Linked DNA regions of Oryctolagus cuniculus. The protein of the gene in region 3 interacts with the protein of the main gene of each other region in a pairwise test. Links are inferred from orthologs where the notes say so. Each region holds a gene or a part of one and is shown on either strand. Other genes may lie near its edges. The genes, in order: ZCCHC10, HNRNPUL1 and DZIP3.

Evidence for each region.
Region 1: the proteins of DZIP3 (region 3) and ZCCHC10 interact in binary tests that used the Homo sapiens proteins (3 or more experiments, as listed by UniProt). The link is inferred for Oryctolagus cuniculus from reciprocal best matches to the Homo sapiens genes DZIP3 and ZCCHC10.
Region 2: the proteins of DZIP3 (region 3) and HNRNPUL1 interact in binary tests that used the Homo sapiens proteins (3 or more experiments, as listed by UniProt). The link is inferred for Oryctolagus cuniculus from reciprocal best matches to the Homo sapiens genes DZIP3 and HNRNPUL1.

The regions. Positions count from the first base shown.
Region 1 is NC_091437.1:21,522,193-21,528,639, forward strand, and holds the start of ZCCHC10 (zinc finger CCHC domain-containing protein 10), read right to left. Parts: upstream 4,229-6,447; 5' UTR 4,226-4,228; coding exon 3,996-4,225; intron 1-3,995.
Region 2 is NC_091449.1:13,343,833-13,350,289, forward strand, and holds the start of HNRNPUL1 (heterogeneous nuclear ribonucleoprotein U-like protein 1), read right to left. Parts: upstream 4,283-6,457; 5' UTR 3,957-4,282; coding exon 3,662-3,956; exon of another isoform or gene 3,429-3,661; intron 3,404-3,428; exon of another isoform or gene 3,191-3,403; intron 1-3,190.
Region 3 is NC_091435.1:64,353,293-64,359,678, forward strand, and holds the start of DZIP3 (E3 ubiquitin-protein ligase DZIP3), read left to right. Parts: upstream 1-2,122; 5' UTR 2,123-2,262; exon of another isoform or gene 2,263-2,506; intron 2,507-6,386. Other genes in the region: protein CIP2A, read right to left, coding at 1,686-1,787. UniProt on the Homo sapiens protein: E3 Ubiquitin ligase proteins mediate ubiquitination and subsequent proteasomal degradation of target proteins.

The DNA.
Region 1 (6,447 bases), on a different chromosome or scaffold from region 3:
GGCCACAGCAGAGAGCTGGTCTGGAAGAGGGGCAACCGGGACAGAATCCGGTGCCCCGACCGGGACTAGAACCCGGTGTGCCGGCGCCGCAAGGCGGAGGATTAGCCTAGTGAGCCGCGGTGCCGGCTGTATATATGTTTTGAATTGTCACGCTATACCTCATAATTTAAATAACCACAATGTGTCAATTAAAAATAAAAATATATTTTTAAAAAAGAATGATTAACATATTTAATATATGCACAATTGCAATGTGCATCCCAGAAAATGACATTCAGAAACACTACAAGATAATGCCATTTAAAAATGCAAAAATCACAACTTTATACAAATATAAAATTAATACATGTCAAAATTTCATTTAATCGGCCAGCGCCGCGGCTCCCTAGGCTAATCCTCCGCCTTGCGGGGCCAGCACACCGGGTTCTAGTCCCGGTCAGGGTGCCGGATTCTGTCCCAGTTGCCCCTCTTCCAGGCCAGCTCTCTGCTGTGGCCAGGGAGTGCAGTGGAGGATGGCCCAAGTGCTTGGGCCCTGCACCCCATGGGAGACCAGGAGAAGCACCTGGCTCCTGCTATCAGATCAGCGTGGTGCGCCGGCCGCAGTGCGCCAGCTGCGGCGGCCATTGGAGGGTGAACCAATGGCAAAGGAAGACCTTTTTCTCTGTCTCTCTCTCTCACTGTCCACTCTGCCTGTCAAAAAAATTTCATTCAATCACTAAATAATGGGGAATCAGTAATGGTTGAAATGAGAATTCAAACATCACTCCAATACGGGCAATCACACTAAAATGAATTGACAAATGCTGGTTAGTAGACAAGGCAATAACTGAATATATCACAGTTCTAAGGGCAAATATCTGCAGTGTTAGCAATGTCCTACAACCACAGATTTGTAAAATAGCTCAAAGACAATGAAAAGAGCAGACTTTCATAGAGTCTCATAGCCAGGAAGGGTGGACTACACAGGATACCTACTAATCTTTTTTCTTCCATTTCAAAGCCTTCCACAATTCTTCCTAACAATGAAAATACTGGGGGAAGGAAAGTCTCTTGCAATCAGTTAAACAGTCATCTTTTCTAAGCTCACAAGTTGTTTTTCCAGTATTAACAAACTATTGGCTTGGGATCCTAGTCATTAAAATATCACCAGACATTGAGGAATTCACTTTTTGTTATAAATAAAACTTTCACACATATCCAAAGTACATCTATAATTAATATTTTATTTTTATGCTCTAAACACTAATAAACTACCTCTAAAATACTAATTTTGGGGCCAGTTTTGTGATGTAGCATGTTAAGCCACCACCTGTGATGTGGGCATCTCAGATGAGTTTTGGTTTGAGCCCCAGTTGCTCACTTCCAATTCAGCTCCCTGCTAATGCGACCAAAAAAGCAGTGGAAGGTGGTCCAAGTAGCTGGGCTCCTACCACCAACATGGCCAGACTTGAAAGTTTTTAGCTCCTGGCTTTAGCATGGCCCAGCTTTTACAGCCATCTGGGAAGTTAATCAGAAGATGGAAGATTCCTCTCTCTAATTCTGCCTTTCAAATAAACAAATTAATGTCTTAAAAAAAAAATTAATCTTTCGGGGCTGGTGCTGTGGTGCAGTGGGTTAAAGCCCCGGCCTCAAGCACCAGCATCCCATATGGGCACCGGTTCTAGTCCTGGCTGCTACGCTTCTGATCCAGCTCTCTGCTATGGCCTTGGGAAAGCAGTGGAAGATGGCCCAAGTCCTTGGATCTCTGCACCCTTGTGGGAGACCCAGAGGAGGCTCCTGGCTCCTGGCTTCGGATCGGCTCAGCTCCAGCCAATGCAGCCATTTGGAGAGTGAACCAGCAGATCAAAGACTCTCTCTCTCTTCATCTCTACCTCTCTCTGTAACTCTGTATTTCAAACAAATAAAAATAAATCTTTTTAAAAAATTCATCTTTCATATAGATTGCTAATTTATGCTTTCAAAATAAGCCTCCACCTGTGATGCTGGCATCCCACATGGGCACCGGTTTGTGTCCTGGCTGCTCTTCTGAAGTAGAGGATGGCTCAAGTGCTTAGCACCCTGCACCCACATCAGAGACCTGGTTCTTCAAGAAGCTCCTGGCTCCTGGCTTTGGATAGGCCCAGCTCCAGGTATTGTGGCCTCTTGGGGAGTGAACCAGAGGACAGAAGACCTCTCTCTCTGTCTCCCCCAAGATCTCTCTGCCTTTCAAATAAATAAATCTTTAAAGGAAAAAAAAAAAAAAAAGAATGACAACAGACCTTTCTCAGTTCTCATAACTTAAATACAATTTTAAACATATTATTATAAAAGTCATATATGCTCCTTATAAACAAAATTAACATTTTTTGACTAACATAATATGAAAATAAAATGAAAAGCAAAGACTCCTCTCCTCTCCCCCAAATACATCCCTAAAATTCTTTTGCACGTCCCTAACCTCAAAATAATCTTCCTTTCCTGAATCCCTGGGGGTATTACAATCTGTACACCACAACAACTTATATTATACCTCTTCCCAACAAGACCACAAGCTGCTCGAGCTCTGATCTGCCTTTTACTTCCAATGTACCTCATGGACCAAACACACACACTATACAAAGAAAACATTTAACTTTCTGATACTTGTGAATGAGCACTACTACGGATTTTGATTAGTCAGCATTCATCTACCTTTGACCCGTCCACCCAGATCATCCATTCATGGTCATCCATTCCACTAGGCTGGGAGAGGAGACCTCTGAGTCAATTGTAACTTCAAAATCCCACAGGTGTGCCAAGGCAGTCAGGTCACTGAAGTGCAGCCAGCTCCAAGCTGAGAGGATATAAGGGACCCTGGCATACTGCATTAGGAAGAAAACAGAGTCTGTTCCAGTCTGGAGCCAACATCCAGGAAAGCAAACCTGAGCAACAGAGGCAGAAGCAGAGAGGCAGAGACGGAGACCTAATGACATCAGTTAGCACTGAGCCTCCTTTCACCACCAAGCTGACTACTCTGACTCCCTGAGTCTTTATCATATTCAGGGAACTCTCATCGGGCCTGAAAAGGGAGAAACATAAAAAACATAAACATATATACGTTAATGGACTCTGAGCTATGCACTATAGGTGTGCAAAACGATGATGGTGTGAAACACTGAGAATGAAGAAGTAGCAGATGTGTTGGTAGGAAAGAAGGTTTTGCAGGAAAAGGGCCTCCGAGATGACCCCTGCATTGTCGGCTCACGGCAAACCTCTGGCGCCGCTGTCCTGCTAGCTCCTTAGGCACACTGGCCATCTTTCTGCTCTTGAGAAGTAAATTCTTTCTGGCCTCCAAGCAGTTTTGCCACTGTCTGGATGTTCTTTCCACACATCGTCTCAGGACCGGCTGCTTTCTCCCCATGGCCATCTCTGATCAAATGTCGCCTCTTTCCACCACCAAACCTCGTGTCCGTCAAAGCTGACCAAACTAGAGACCGTCCCCATCACCGGAGCGTGAGCTCCCGAAGCAGGGGCTCCATCGGAATGAAACACCTCTTCGTTATGCCCAAGCTCTGGCGCCGAGCCCAGGGACTACATATTTACTCAGGGAGAGACCGGCAGTAACTGAGAAGTAGCTGCTGGTTGAGTCCAGGGACGGCGATGGGAAGGGGGCAGCGAAAGACAGCTGGCCGGGAGGCTGCCGAGGGAGCTGCAGTTTACCTCCGCGGGAGCGGAGGGGTCCGACCCGGCTTCCCTTGCCCACGCGCCGTGCGGGCAGAACGGCCTAACCCACGGAGTGACCAACCCCCGCGTGCTGCCTTCTTGTTCCACGACCCCGCAAGTCTCTGGTCACCAAACTTATCGCCCGGGCCGAGCCCCGCGGACGCTGGCAATGTGTCTGAGCAACAGCCATCCTCGGCCGCTCCTCGGAGGGGGTCCGACGCCCAGCCGCGCACCCCTGCGCCGGCTCAGCCGCCGGCTGACGCGCGTCTCCCCGCCCCCAGCCCGTCCGGGAGCCCGAGAGGGCCCCCACTTACGCTTGTCTCCGGGCTATGAGCCGATGCATGGGAGTCGCCATCTTAGCGCGGCCGAGGCCTGCCGCGCTGAGTTTTGGGAAACTCCTCGCAGGGGGCGTGGACTTGGACCCGGCGGCCGCGGCGTGGGCGGGGCCTCCGGGCGGCTTCTGGGCGGGGCCTGCGGGCGGCCTCTCTGAGGAGGCCGAGGGCCGGAGGCGGGTGCGTGCGGACGCCGCTGTGGGTCCGTCCATGGGGCTGAGCGAGGTTTGCAAGGACGGTGACGGGGAAGCACATTCCCGAAAAGGAAAAGTATGTATTTTTAAGATTCGTGTGTATAGGTATCCCCCACACGCAGAGATACTGAATGAAACTACTGTGTACCGGAAAGCAGAAGTCTGGAGAATAAAATAGTGAGCGGGCCCTGGATCCGAGAGAATGGGTTTAGCACATCCTCAAGTGAAAATGGTGTTAACTGTTCATTGTTTAATATATTCACAGCAATGTTATAAGGACCAAAGCTGCTTTGGCAACCAGAAAAAGACCATCGCAAATATTACTTTAGAAAATTGTAGCTATACCTATTTGTAGTATCGACTCATGGAAATGTTCTCCCAAGTCCACAATCTTTTCTATATATATATATATATATATATATACACTCTTCATATGTATAATTACTCCAAAAAGTTAGTGAAAATGGCATTAAAAGAAAAATGTACATTTCCCACCAACTTTTCTGAAATCCTGCTGTATATATTCTTGTCTGTTTCTAGGTCACCCATTTGTATTTTTCAATTAATAATTATTTAGTAAAGTGTTTAGGAGCTTGAGATGCTGTGTTGTTCAAGTTTAGACCCTTGGGCACATGGAACTTTCTACAGATAATAAACAAAATCTGCTATGATTAGGGTGTTTTCCCCCGATAATTCATGTGTTACAAATTTAACCACCAGGGCCAGAGCTGTGGTGTGTCAAATAAAGCATCCGCCTGCAATGCCGTCATCCCATATCTGCACAGATTCAGGTCCCACCTGCTCCACTTCTGATCCAGCTTCCTGCTAATGTGCCTGGGAAAGCAGCAGAAGATGGCCCACATGCCAGGGCCCCTGCACCCACAGAGGAGGCAGCTCTTGGCAGGAGGCTCCTGGCCTCTGTCTAGCTCTGCCCTGGCCTGGTGCAAACACTTAGGGAATGATCTGACAGATAGATGTCTCTGTCTCTTCTGCCTCCCTGACCTTCAAATAAAGAAATAAATCTGAAAAAAAAAAAAAAAAGAAATTTAATCCCTAAAGTCATATATCAGTAATATTTGGTAGGTGATTAGGTAACGGAGATTCTGCCCTCATGAATAAATGAATCTATTTTCAGATTAATGGATTAATTTGGTTATTGAAAGAGTAGTTTCGTTATGAAAGTGAGTTCTCTTTGCCGTGCTTACTTGGTCTTGCAATATGATGTCCTCTACTGTATTATGATGCATTTAGAGTGAACCAGTGGCTAGGTTTACCCTTTGGCTGGCTGTCTCTGTCTTCCTCTGTACTTCTTTGTTTCTCTGCCTCTCAAGTAATCTTTTTAAAAAGGAAAGAAAAGGAATCCCAAATAAAGGAGTAAAGTGATTAATTTTGAGAGTTAGAGAAGGTAATGATGTCAGCTTTGAGTACAGCTTGTTCTTTAAAGAATGGATTATTGGGCGTTGTGCCACAGCAAGCTAAACTGCAGCCTGCCATACCGGCACCCCATGTTGGAGAACCAGTTTGAGTCCCTACTGTTCCTTTTTTTTTAAGATTTATTTATCCTATTTGAAAATCAGTTACAGAGAGGGAGAGAAAGAGGGATCTTCCATCTGCTGGTTCACACCCCAGATGACCGCACAGCCAGGGCTGGGCCAGGTCAAAGCCAGGAGCTTCTTCCAGGTCTCCCACGTGGATTGCAGAGTCCCAAACACTTAGCCATCTTCTCGTGCTTTCCCAGGCCATTAGCAGGGAAATGGATCAGCAGTGGAGCAGCTGGGACATGAATCAGCTCCCATATGGGATGCTGGCGTCGTAGGCAGCAGCTGAGCCTGCTATGCCACAACACCAGCCCCTGTTCTAGTTTCCATACAGCTCCTTGCCAATGTGCCTGGGAAAGCAGCAGAAGGTAGGTCAGTTACCTGGGCTCATGCTATCCATGTGAAAAGCCCTGATGGAGCTCCGAGCTCCTGGATTGTGCTGGTCCAGCTCTGGCCATTGCAGCCATTTGGGAAGTGATCCAGCAGGGAATCTCTCTCACTGTTTCCTTCAAATAAATAAAGTCTTTTAAAAAGGGATTTGTTTTTCTGTTCTTTAGTTTGCTGTTTTTTTATTCCCCTGTGTATTTATGGGTATATTTTCACATCTGAAAACATACAGATCTAATTTATTCTTTTTGTATATTATATGATAGGATATTCCACAGTTTATCCAATCAGAACCCTATTGTTGAACAATTAAGT
Region 2 (6,457 bases), on a different chromosome or scaffold from region 3:
AACCACCAGCCTAGCTGTTCTCTACGACAGTGTGATGCTTAGGGAGAGCCTTCAGGGTGCAACATCGAAAACTGTCTCAGGCACAAGTCAGCCCTCTGCCCAGCTCTGACTGTTCCCACCCCTGCCCTGCAGAGGCAAGGGTGACAATCTCAGTGGATGGGAAAATGGAGAAGGGAAGGAGCTATGAAGAAAACGGGAATCCTAAGAGTAGCCCTCAGCCTCATTGGGGATCTGTCCTGAAATACCAGGAGTCAGGCTGGAGGGGTTTCAGGAAGGTTTCCCGCAGGCGCAGAGGAGAGCGGCTGCAGCGTGCTAGGAACGATTCCTGGAGTGTGCGCTCCACACCAGAGCCTAGGATAAGCTCTCCCTACGGAGGCCTTTGCAGTTTAGGGAGACAGGCATATTAAACAAACGCACAGGGGCCAGAACAGTGGCTCAGCAGGTTAAAGCCACTGGCTGCAGTGCCAGCATCCCATACAGGCACCAGTTTGAATCCTGGCTGCTCCACTTCCGATCCAGCTCCCTGTTAATGGCCTGGGAAAGCAGCAGAGGATGGATGGTCCAAGTGCTTGGGCCCCTGCACCTGCATGGGAGACCAGGAAGAAGCTCCTGGCTTTGGTCTGGCCCAGCCCCAGCCATTGCAGTCATTTGGGAAGTGAACCAGCAAATGAAAGCTCTCTCTCCTTCTAACGCAGCTTTTCAAATAAATAAATCTAAAAACAAAACAAAACAAAACACCATACACACACAAATGCACAGAAGTTTAACTATGATTGTGTTAAGTGTTATCAAGAGGCTGGCGCCGCGGCTCACTAGGCTAATCCTCCGCCTTGCGGCGCCGGCACACCAGGTTCTAGTCCCGGTTGGGGCGCCGGATTCTGTCCCGGTTTCCCCTCTTCCAGGCCAGCTCTCTGCTGTGGCCAGGGAGTGCAGTGGAGGATGGCCCAAGTGCTTGGGCCCTGCACCCCATGGGAGACCAGGAGAAGCACCTGGCTCCTGCCATCGGATCAGCGTGGTGCGCTGGCCACAGCACGCCGGCCGCGGCAGCCATTGGAGGGTGAACCAATGGCAAAGGAAGACCTTTCTCTCTGTCTCTCTCACTGTCCACTCTGCCTGTCAAAAAAAAAAAAAAAAAAAAAAAAAAAAAAAAAAAATTAAAAAAGAAAAAGAAAAAAAAGAAAGGGTTATCAAGAAATATCAGGAGCTAAAAAAGAAAAGGGACCTGAGAAATAACAGCCAAGGTTTGGCTCCAAGGTCACAGGAACGAAGATTCAGGGATGAGAATGGAGAATATTGCCGGGGTTGGGATACCGCACAGGAAAGCTCAGAGGTGGGACTGAAACCAGACCTTCCCCCTAACCCAGACACTCTCTCAAGGGGCAGAACCTTGCAGGCAAACCTGAGAGGGCTTTGGAGACTGAGTGAGCACCAGCGAGCAGCTCACCGGCTCTCGGCCCCAGGGGCCGCTCTCTGCTGGGTGCCTCCCGAGTCCTCCTCACGGCTGTGCCAGCAGCAGTGAGGCAGAACCACGGGGAAGCAGAGCCTATCCTGCCACTTGTTGACTGACTGGATGCTTTCTCAGAGGACAAACACATCTGGGCACAAACCTGGTGCGGCCCAAAGGGAGAAAAGTCTCAGGTCACGTGGTGCCTTACAGGTCTGTTTACCAAGGCTGAGGGAGGGTCGCAGGGGTGTGGAGGGCACTCAAAGGACTCTGGTGCAGAGGGCAGGGCGAGAGGAAGAGAGGGAACGTCATCTTCCCTGGGATGTGAGGTCCTCTCAGCCCAGCTGCTTCCTCCAGGCGCTAGGCAGTGTGTGCCCCAGAGCCTCAAGCCTCTCTAAGCATCCCTCTGGGCCCGGAGCAGCCTGCCCAGGGAGCCAAGATGCTGGGGTGCCTCTCCATCCCCTAAACGCCGCTTTCCTCATCAGCAGGCGGACCTGGGGAGAGGCCCTTCACGCGTGACTTCATTCTTAACAACCCTGTAACCCCATTTTACACACAAGGAAACCAGACGCACGGAGATGAAGCACCCTGCCCGAGTCACGGAGCCGAACCTGAAACAGTCTAGAGGCTGCGTGCCGAGGCATCCAACCACCCTGCTCTCCCGGAACTCTGCCCCACTGGGGGCTCCCACTCTACAGACAAGCTCGCCGGGCCACTTCTTCCTTCCCAGGTCTCTGCCACGCCACGCACGCTGCCAGCACCTGGGTCCTGGACAGTCACTGGGCTGTTCTCCACTCCAAATTTACACGCAGGCTGCCACATCTCTCGTGAACGAGGACCCAGTGCCAACCCCAAGTCTCCTCCATGGCCCCATTTCTCCTCTCACCTTCTCCCCCCAGCCCCAGGGTGCCCTTTCCACAGACCCCCCAGAAGCCCTGGACACCACAGTCCTTCCCCCTTAACCTCTCTTCCTCCCATCTTTGCAGTCCCAGTGCTGAAAAAAAGTCGCCCTCTGCTAACTCCAGACTCACTCTCTGCCATGCCAGGTCTCTGCTCCTCAAACAGCTGCAGGCCTACCCTAATCCCTCCACTCCCACACTCACTCCTATTGGCTGATGCAGATACTCCCTGGGCACGCAAGTAACTGCTTCTGGGGACCAAGGAACCCTCACCGGGAGATGCTGAGCCCCACCTCTCCCCCCAACAACACCCCGAGGCCCCCGGGGACCAAGTCAACAGGCTTGCCTTCTCCTTCCATTACTCACTCACTCCCCCTCCCCCATCTTCCCAGACAGCTACACACTCCCGTGCTGGACACAAGGATCCCCTGTCCCTCGGTTACTTCACCAAATTCAAGCACTACCAGCTTGCTCTCTGCGCCCGTCCTATCCCGGCTGCCCCGTTCACCAGGACCATTCAGCACAGCCACTGAGTTCCGGCCCGGAGAGCTTGCCCAGTCCCAGGCTCCCGGGTCCTTTGTCCAGGGAAGCATCTTTCCTGCCCCCACGAGCTTCAGGACACCAAGGCTCCTGGTGCCGCCTCTGGCAGTCAACCACAAGGTCCCCGGATCGCCCAGCACCCAGTGCCCAAGGTGCGCCTGCCTCTCGGCTGGCCTCCCAGCCTGGAAGAGAGGTGGGTCCCCCCGTGGAACAAGCTGGTCTCCCACATCCCCTCACGGCTCTCCGGCCAACACCAGAGCACCCAGTCCACCGCACAGACACCAGTGCCTCCATCTCATCAACCCACCTCAGGACCCTATCAGCCGCTCCGGCCAGGACCCCGGCCTCTCCGTCCCGAAGCTGGAAACGCGGCTCCTAACGCCCAGCCCACCCTGCTGCAAACCCCAGGATCACCATTTCCAAGCCTCTCCCCAAGCCCCTAAATAGAAAACCTCTTTTTCTTCCGACTCCGTTCGGTTCCAAAAACCACGGTTTCCGGTCTCCGAGCCCTAAGGTCCAGAACCCTCCCCATTCCCTGGACCCACCTCTTTTCCGACACCGACAGCGCCCACCCCCAGCTTCTCCCCCGCGCCGAATGCCAGAATCCACCCGCCGGCCGTCCCGAGGCCCCGGTCCCCAGATCCTTCGCGGCGGCCGATCGCAGGACCCCCCGATCCTCACAGCAAGTCCCCGACCTCGGGCGCCGGACTCCCGCGTCCCACAGCCCTATCTTGGCCCAGACTCCAGGCTCCCCGGCCCCCGCCCCGCGCACTCTCACAATGTCCGTCCGGCCCCGAGTAGCCGCCGGGCTCCGGGTGCGGCTGCAGCCCGGGCGGCGGTGGCTGCGCGGTCCCCTCCAGCTCGGAGCCCCCCTCGGTCTCGACCTCCTCGTTGTTGTGCCCAGGTCGCCCCGGTTCGTCGTCGGCCTCGAGCTCCCGCTCGTCGTCGGGCTCCTCGGCCTCCAGCGCAGCCTGCAGCCGGTCAGCAAGCTCGGCCTTAAGGCCGCGAGTGTCCAGGCCGCGGCGCTGCAGCTCCTCGCGAAGTTCGTTCACCTTCAGACGGCGTACATCCATGGCCCGGGCCCCCGGGGCGGCCCCCGAGCCCGGCCCGGCCTCCCAGGGCTCTGTCCCCCTTAAACCTCTCCTGTCAGGAGGCGAAGGGGGAAAGGGGGGGGGGCTACTCCAATGGCGGCGGCGGCTCAAAATGGCCGCCGCCGCCGCCACCTCCCCCTCCCAGTGCGCCGTACGATGCAACACGGGTGTCAATTGGCCAGCGCGCGGGGGCAACGGGCGCGGGCCCGGAGACTCAGCCAGTTAGAGCACAGTTTTCAAAATAACGACAGTGAGAGGGCCTACGAGCAGCCAGGGAGGAAGCGTTGGCCTACGTCGAAGACGCGGCCCAAGCGGAGGGCGGGAAAAGGCAGAAGGCGGAGCGCCAGCTGATTGGATGGCGCCCGCGCGCCCGCTGCTGTAAGGTCGAATGAGAAAAGGGGAGTAACGATTTAGTCCAATCAACCTTGGGCTCTCAAAATGAGCGCCCCCCCCCCCCCGCCTTTCCTGCGAAGTCCTTTCATCGAGCTAAGTGTCTTTGCAACACACATTCTGATTTGTCTACATCTCCCGCCCCTTGAGGAGTACGAGCGGGTAAAGTCACTAGAACCAATCAAAACGAGGGTCGGTAGAAACCCCTCCTTCCTGTTGCCTTTAAGAAACCGGAAAGAGAAAAATTCACGAAGGACCCGCCCCTTGCCGTTAGGGCGGTTTCAAAACAATCTGTCCACCAATTGCATTTATTGTCTCATCTCACTGAGGGCCGGTAGAGATGGGTCGCTTGAGGAAAAGCTAACAGGATTGGCCGTTTTTCAGAGGCTTGCCTCACAAATTTCGCCGTAGAGGGAGGCATATGGAGTAGATATTAAACAGATATATTATTCATAATCTGGAACTCGGCTGTTTTATTATTACTTTTTTAATGAAAAACGGAACTTTGGCGAGTCCTGCAGGTTTGATACTAGAGGCTAGGCCAGCGACGAGAGAAAAGTTGTCAAGGAAACCGCGTGTCCATCCCCTGGCCAGCTCGCCTCGCGGGGCCTCTGTCCGCGACCGCAGCCTCGCGGAGGCCGTGGAGCCGCCCCTCTCCGGGTAGAGCCCCGCACTGAGCGGCTGTCCCCTCCCCGACCCTCTGCATGGCTGTCCGGGGCACCTGGCCGACGGGCTCAGAGACGCGGATCGGGCCTCCCGCTAATAAACACGGACGCCCGAGTTCCCCGGCGTCTAACGCCGCGCCACCTGTCGCCTCTAACTCAAACGGACAAACCCGGAGTCAGACACACAGCCGAGGCACGCAAGGCCCACACCCGCCACACTCCAGCGGAGCAGACAAAGGCGCGCGCCGCGCAGATACACCCCCAGGCTCGGGTCGGATCAGGTGCAGCACACCGGCAGCGCAGGTGTGCCCGCGAAGCTCCGCGCGGCCGGGCGGCCCCACACCGCACCGACCCAGCGGACAGTGCCACTGCAGCCACCCGGACACGCAGCACCCACTCCGCGGCGGGACAGACACTCACGTGGGCCCGGAGGTTCCAGTCCAGACACCCCGCCCCTCGCCCACGTCCGACTTCCTCTCTCCTCCCAGCCTTGCACAACGATTTGTTCTAAAAAAGTTTGTGGCCCGGATTGAACCGTCCCGGCTTCTCGGGAGCCGCCACCGGGGGGCGTCCGGGCGCTGCCAGGGGCTCCTCGGTCCGCTCCCGGACACACCCTGGACTGCGCGCCCAGGGCAGCGAGCGGACTCCCCTGGTGGACCCGGGACTACCGGAGGGGTTCTGTGCCCGCGTTTCTCTTCCTGGACTGTGGGTACCTGTTCTGCTCCGTGTCTCAGGATTTCTATCACTTTGGATCTGTTGCTCAAGTTTCTTCCTCTTCCCGCTGGGTGTCTGCCTGATTGTGTGTGTTTGGCCTCGATGTACAGTGTTCATTTAGACCTCTCTAGGGAGGAGACTTTCGTAGACCCCACCACACCCTTCCTGGTACTGACAGAGAAACTGAATGGCTGGGGAGAGGGGCCGCATCGCAGCTGAATGCAGATGAGAGGAGACACAAAGAAGATTACGAAGTTTTATGTGCTCTCAGCTCCTCCGGAGGCACCAGAGACCACACTTGTACACCGGCGATAAGGGACTGGCTCATGGGGGCAGCATGACCCAAAAGTAGGGAGCCGCCCATCCCCCGGGGTGGTGGGGAAGGAGGCATCCCTAATGCATTGCACAGGCTTGGGGGGAGGAGGAAGCGAAGGCAGTGCCTAAGAAGGGGAGGGGCACATAGAGGAACCCTATCAGGTTAGAACCCTGGAATCGTACCTAATACTCTAGGCTGTGGACCCTGAGAACTGAGAACACGCAGTCTTTTAACTGCAGTACCTAGAACCTTCAGATTTACAAATGTGGATTCTTGGGTCCTTCACATGATCCTAGGAAGGCAGAGTGCACATAGAACCTGGAGGTGTCCAATGTTAGGAACGATTAGAACTTTGGAGTCTAGTTAGTCATGGCTACCGGTGAGAGTCCTGCATGCAG
Region 3 (6,386 bases):
ATTCTGTTTTTTAAAGGAATACATGTCAACACTATTGTTAAATGAAAGCCTATAAGACAGGAAAAATAAATCCAAGTATGAAATATCTGGTAACAGATATTTTGAGCAATATTCTTTTTCCTATTTATAAATCTGGCCCTCCAGAAGATTCAGACATTTTCTACATGAAACATGCTTCTCCCCAGGATCGGACCTATGGCTCAGTAACATCCGAGCCAGCATTATGGTGTAACGGGTTAGCCACCACCTGCGATGCTGGCATCCTATATGGGTGCTGGCTGCTCCACTTCCAATACCGATCCCTGTTAATGTGCCTGGGAAAGCAGTAGAAGATGCCCCAGGTACTTGGGTCTTTGCCACCCACATGGGAGACAGAAGCTGCTGGCTCAGCCCTGGCTGTGGCGGCAATTTGAGGAGTGAACCAGCAGACCTCATGTCAGACCTGTTTTTTTTTTTTTTTTTTTAATATTTATTTATTTGAAAAGCAGAGTTAAAGAGAGTGAGAGACAGAGATAAAAGATCTTTTGGTAAAGAAAATAGATTATGATTACTAGTAAGGAATATACAGCCTCTGTGGGAAACAGAAAAGCAGTTTCTCAAAATTTAAAAATAGAACTACCATATTATCCAGCAATCCCACTACTGGACATACATCAAAGGAAAATGAAATCACTCTGTAGAACATTAACTTGCATTTCCATGTTTATGGAGCACTATTCACAGTAGTCAGGAAATGTCTTCCCATTGATGAATGAAAAAAAAATAAAGTGGTACATAAACACAACAGGACAACAGGATACTATTGCTCAGCCATTAAAAAAAGAATTGCTATCATTCCTAACAACAACTGGAACTGGAAGTCATTATGTTGAGTGAAATAAGGCAAACACAGAAAAGTATCGCATGATCTCACATAATTGGAGCCTAAATAAAGGTGATCTTATGTAAAAAATACAATGGTGGTTAACAGTGCCTGGGGAAAGACTAATTAATAGGCCACAAGGTACAGGTAGACAGCAGTAAGTAGTTCTGGAGTCCTACTTTCCAGAAGGGTGACTATAGATAATATACTGTACATGTCTCTATTAAAAAACTACAGATAGGATTTTGAATGTTTTCACTCTAAAGAAGTGCTAAATGTTTGAGGATATTATTATTTACTCTGCTTGAACACTGAACAATGAACACATGTACCAAAGTATTACATGGTACCCCATAGATATGTACAATTGTTATACGCCTGCTATAAAAAGTTTACATAACTTAAAGACACAGCTGAGGGTCATTTTAAAGTCCGAGTTCTTTTAACAAATTATCAAATCGTTAACTCCTTGCCACATCTGCCCCGAAAACAGCTGTATACACTGTGCGAGCTTGGCTGCAGTGTGAAAACGAAAACCGGGGAGCAAAGGAATATTAGACAAGCTCTGAGCTTTCTCCTTTTCCTAACCGAAACACAGCCAGCATCTCCAACGTTTTGCCCCATCTTTAACCTTCAGAAAGCTCACATTCCTCTCGTTTAAGCGAGCTGCACGCCAACAGTCGCCTTTAGCAGTACTAAGCGATACCTAGAAAGTACCGAGGGTCTTCTTTCCCAGGCTGGGGGCCCACTCCCAGAACACACGGTGAACTAAGGATTAGTAACCAGGGACGCCCCATTTCCCCCCCACCCCAAGGCGTCTCACCTCCAAGTGCCGCAAGAGCTGGGTAGCGTTCGCCTCTGACTTAACGGCTTTATACTGACCGATGGTCAGGAGCAAGGACTTCAAGCAGGCGGTAGAATCCATGGAGACAGGCCTTGGTCCTTGCAGCCTTGCAGAAGATCCACCACTACCCTGACAGCTCCCGGCTCCGGCGTTCGCCGCGCTTTATTTGATTTTCGGCACCGCCCACCCACCCTGTTCCCGGAAGCTTCCGGTTCCGGTCAGGCTCCGGAAGTGCCCAGCCACTCGCGGTTGATGGGCGTGGTGCGTGTGGCTAGAGGTGCTCTATGAATCTGTGAAGGGGCTTGGGAACCTCTCCCTCCTATCCCCTACTTGTCCAAGAGTCCGCGAGGTTTCAATGTGAGATCCCGTGAAGGCGAAAAATCTCGCGAGAAATGTGACTGTGGATCGATCTGTGGAGGGGCGGTTAAGCGCAAGGGGGTGTGCATCTGCGCCCGGAATGTCGTGAGCGATCTCGGTCTTGCTAATGGATGGCCGGTTTTTGCTTTTTGCGTCATCCTCTACCAGAGAAATGATCGCTGTCCTCTATCTAGACACGGTGAGGAACTCGGGAGGAGAAGAGTTTCGGTGACTTGGGTTTTGAGGCGGGCTGCAGAGGCCTCTGTGTCTCAGGCGTCCGTCCCTTCTGCCCAGGTGTGGTGGTTTCCTCGTACGTTCTTTGCGGCTGTGAGGCAAGTTAATCGCGCCCTCACGACGGTAATCTGGCTCTGGAGAAAGCCACCCCCGGGGGGGATTCCTGGGCCAGGTGATACTCCGAAGGTGTTCGCACTAGCGTCACTTTTGTAAGTTGAGGTGTTTTTCTGTTTGGCTTGATTGTTTGTTTATAAATGTCAGTGGCTACGAAATTGGCATTCTTTGCGGTTTTTATCAGCCATATTACGATGCATGTGTATCTGAATGAAAAGTCCGTATCTGGTTCTGCAGTTAAAGGGCTAATGACGAATAAAGCTTTAAAAACCGGGTTGTAGAAAATTGTGAGAATAGGCTACATGTCCCTTTAATTAAGTCGTTAATTAGAAATCGTGTTTTGTCAATTCAGAGGACTTTTTTTTGCTTGACAATTTTTTTTATGTATTGGTTTCTGATTCGAGAGATCATATAAATAGTTCTGTTTCTCACTGTGTGTGTGTATTATCTAGCCTGACTCATAATTGTACAATAAGCTTATACAGTCAGTATGGCACTGGAAAGAACAAAAAATTTACAGCTCGTGAAATCTGGGCAGGAATTCCTACAACTACTGACTTACCAGCTTACAAGAACTCTCTAGGCCTCAGGTTCTTAATTCTTAAAACTGATTGCAGAGATGTTTATCTTTCCAAGTTTTGTGAAGATTAGTATACATAGATACATAACATAGATCCTGGGACATCAGAGCTGATGAAAAGTAATCTTATTTTCAAGCTTTATGTAACCAGCTAATTTTATATGAAAGAAAACTTCATACCAAAGGCTTGATGTTCTTTCTCGCTTAAACCTTTCTTAAAGTTTATATCTTTCTAAGTTATCAGAGCAGCCAGTTCACTTGCATAGTTGGAGGAGGCTGAAGGTGCTTTGTCATTGGTGGTGGGGTATCCAAGTACATAAAAAAAGTGTCCTCCATTCTCTGGTTGATGGTCATCTCTACAGATGCCATGTTTCAAAATTCTCCTTTCATAATTATGGTCCAACAGTGGTAATGGCAATATAACATTTTTGAGTTGCTGAAAATATTCCACTTGGGAAGAATGTACTTAGGGGCAGCATATGCCATTCTTGTGGTTCCTAGCTACATTTATAAACAATATGATTTTAGCAGTGCTACCTTTAAATACCTGAATCTGCTGACAAATTTAGTATCTGGATGCATTTTCAACTAACTCCTAAACTTTCATATTCATTGCAAGTGCATTCCTAACATTGAAAACAAATGATTAATCCTGTAAGTTTGCTGGGTAAGTCCAGAAGTAACTGAATGGATTCTCAAAAAAACCTTAAAATCCTGCTTTTACTAAGATGCTGATTTTGCTTTAGGGATCATGTATTGGCAGGTTTATAACAAGGGGGCAATCAGTATACATTGTCAGATTTCTTGCTTCCTGGTTTAAGCTGCCAGATAGTACAAACAATATTTACATAGTGGCAAAGTGCTAAGATGCACATTGTTTTTGTTTTTTTTTGGGGGGGGCAGAGGGCAGGGCAGGAAATATCTTCAGCTTCTGATAACTTTTGCAAAGATTTTACAGTCATCATTCATCAGCCCTAGAGTTTACCCTAGGAACCAATATATTCTTTGGGACCCAATAATGTTTTGGCCTTTTATGTCTAGATATGCTGATTTTATGACCTTACCAGGAAGTTATACAAATTCAAAAAAACAAAGAACTGAATATGCCTCATTTTCAAATTCTGTCTTGAAATCCTAACTCTCGGTATAATGGTATCAGGATACGGACCTTGGAAAGTAAATCAGTTTATAAAGGTGATCCTCATGAGGGGGAAAATACAAAGGACCCTAGAAAGCTCTCAGCCTCCTCTGCCACATGCTGATAAGAAGTGAACATCCCAGAAGAGATCCTGCTGACTCTGCTGGCACCTTAATGTCAGATTTCCAGCCTCCAGAACTGTGAGAAAGATATTTCTGTTGTTTATACTTTGTTACAGCAGCCCCAGTAACTAAGATAACCCCTTATACCACTTCAAAATGATTGTCTATCAGAAATAATCCGATGAACCATAGTTACAATTTTGGTTCTAGGGAACTCCATCACAAAGTCTCTTGACATATTCCCAGAGGCATTTTGTTCATTTTTTTAAGTCTTGAAATGATCATAGCATCTAATATCTCCACTTACAGGAAGCTTTGGGATTCTTATGGTAAAACAAAAGAAGTGTTTACTAGTAGTGTCAAAGTTTGCTTGATAACATGTAGAAACTTCTAGTTCAATGTTGATGTTTAATTCTATGCTGATGTAAATTTAGCTTTTAAAAACAGCTATCGAGATGTTACCAAGTTTTATTTTCAAGGTTGTTATTGCAGCATTGTTTGCAGTAGCAAAAAAAAATTAAGAGGCAAATCTGGGCATAATAAAATTTATACAATGGCATATCCTATAGTTTAAATACTACGGTAAATATATATATGTGCTGATGTGAAAAGCTTAGTGCCATTTGTTTCATGTGTGATGTATGTGAGAAATAGCTTTTGTCCCATTTCTTATTATTTATTTGAGAGGTAGAGTTACAGATAGTGAGAAGGAGAGACAGAGAGAAAGGGCTTCCATCCGTTGGTTCATTCCCCAAATGGCCGCAATGGCTGGAGCTACACCGATCTGAAGCCAGGAGCCAGGTGCGTCTTCCCTGTCTCCCATGTAGGTGCAGGGGCCCATGGACGTGGGCCATTCTCTACTGCTTTCCCAGGTCACAGCCGAGAGCCGGATAAGAAATGGAGCAGCTGGGACTGGAACCGGCGCCATATGGGATGCTGGCACCCCAGACAGAGGATTAACCTACTGCGCCATGGCACCAGCCTCATCCCATTTCTTAAGTTTAGTTGTTACTCCTTTTCATACAGTTGCATTTCTTCATCATGTATAGAAATAGGGGATAATGAATGAATTTGTTCAAAACCTAAAGGTTAAATGATGCTGAGGAGGAGGAAGATGGTTTTGATAGGAACATTTATGTAATGTTTACTATGTGCAGGATACTATTCTATGCTGTGTTTTAAGCATTCTGTCTTCACAACAACCTTATAAATTAGATATCTCATTATCTCCAGTATTCAGATAAAGAAACAGACACAGAGAATGTTAATTTCACTTAAGGTCATAGAACTAGTGTGTATCACAGCAGGCCCATATACCTTTGCAGAGTGATTCCAGAGTTTTTATGCTGTTACCAACAGTACCATGCAGTCTTTCAACTTACTTTTGACAGTAATGTACAATTTAATACTTTATCCCTTTTAGTATTTTTTTGTTCTAGTTAATACTATTTATTGAACTCTGTAATTAACACACATTTATTCTTAGGTGTTGAATTTAACTGAAAAGTGATCCCTGTTAAATATAAGAGTGGAAATAAGAGAGGGAGGAGATGTACAATTTGGGACATGCTCAATCGGACTTGCCCCAAATGGTGGAGTTAGAAACATGCCAGGGGATTCCAATACAATCCCATCAAGGTGGCATGTACCAATGCCATCTCACTAGTCCAAGTGATCAATTTCAGTTCACAATTGATCACACTGATAGGTCTAAGAGTCAAAGGGATCACACAAACAAGACTAGTGTCTGCTAATACTAACTGATAGAATCAAAAAGGGAGAGAACGATGCAACATGGGAAGTGGGATACACAGCAGACTCATAGAATGGCAGATGTCCCAAACAGCACTTTTTAGGAGAGTTTTTTGAAATAGTTAAATAGGGAGCTATATGAATAAGTATATATACACTAATGGTACTCTAGTCAGCATTTTCAACATCCATTGATATTTGAAACTGTTTAATAATTCTTTATATCCCGTGTCTTCTATTTTATAGAGAAATAAAATTATAACATCTTGGGAGAAAGTGGCTACATGGTATTTTTAGACTGAAAGGAAACAAATTAGTGCTATCTAAATTGTGGTGGGCAGGCATTTTGCACAGCATTTGTGTGCCTGGGTTCAAGTCCCAGT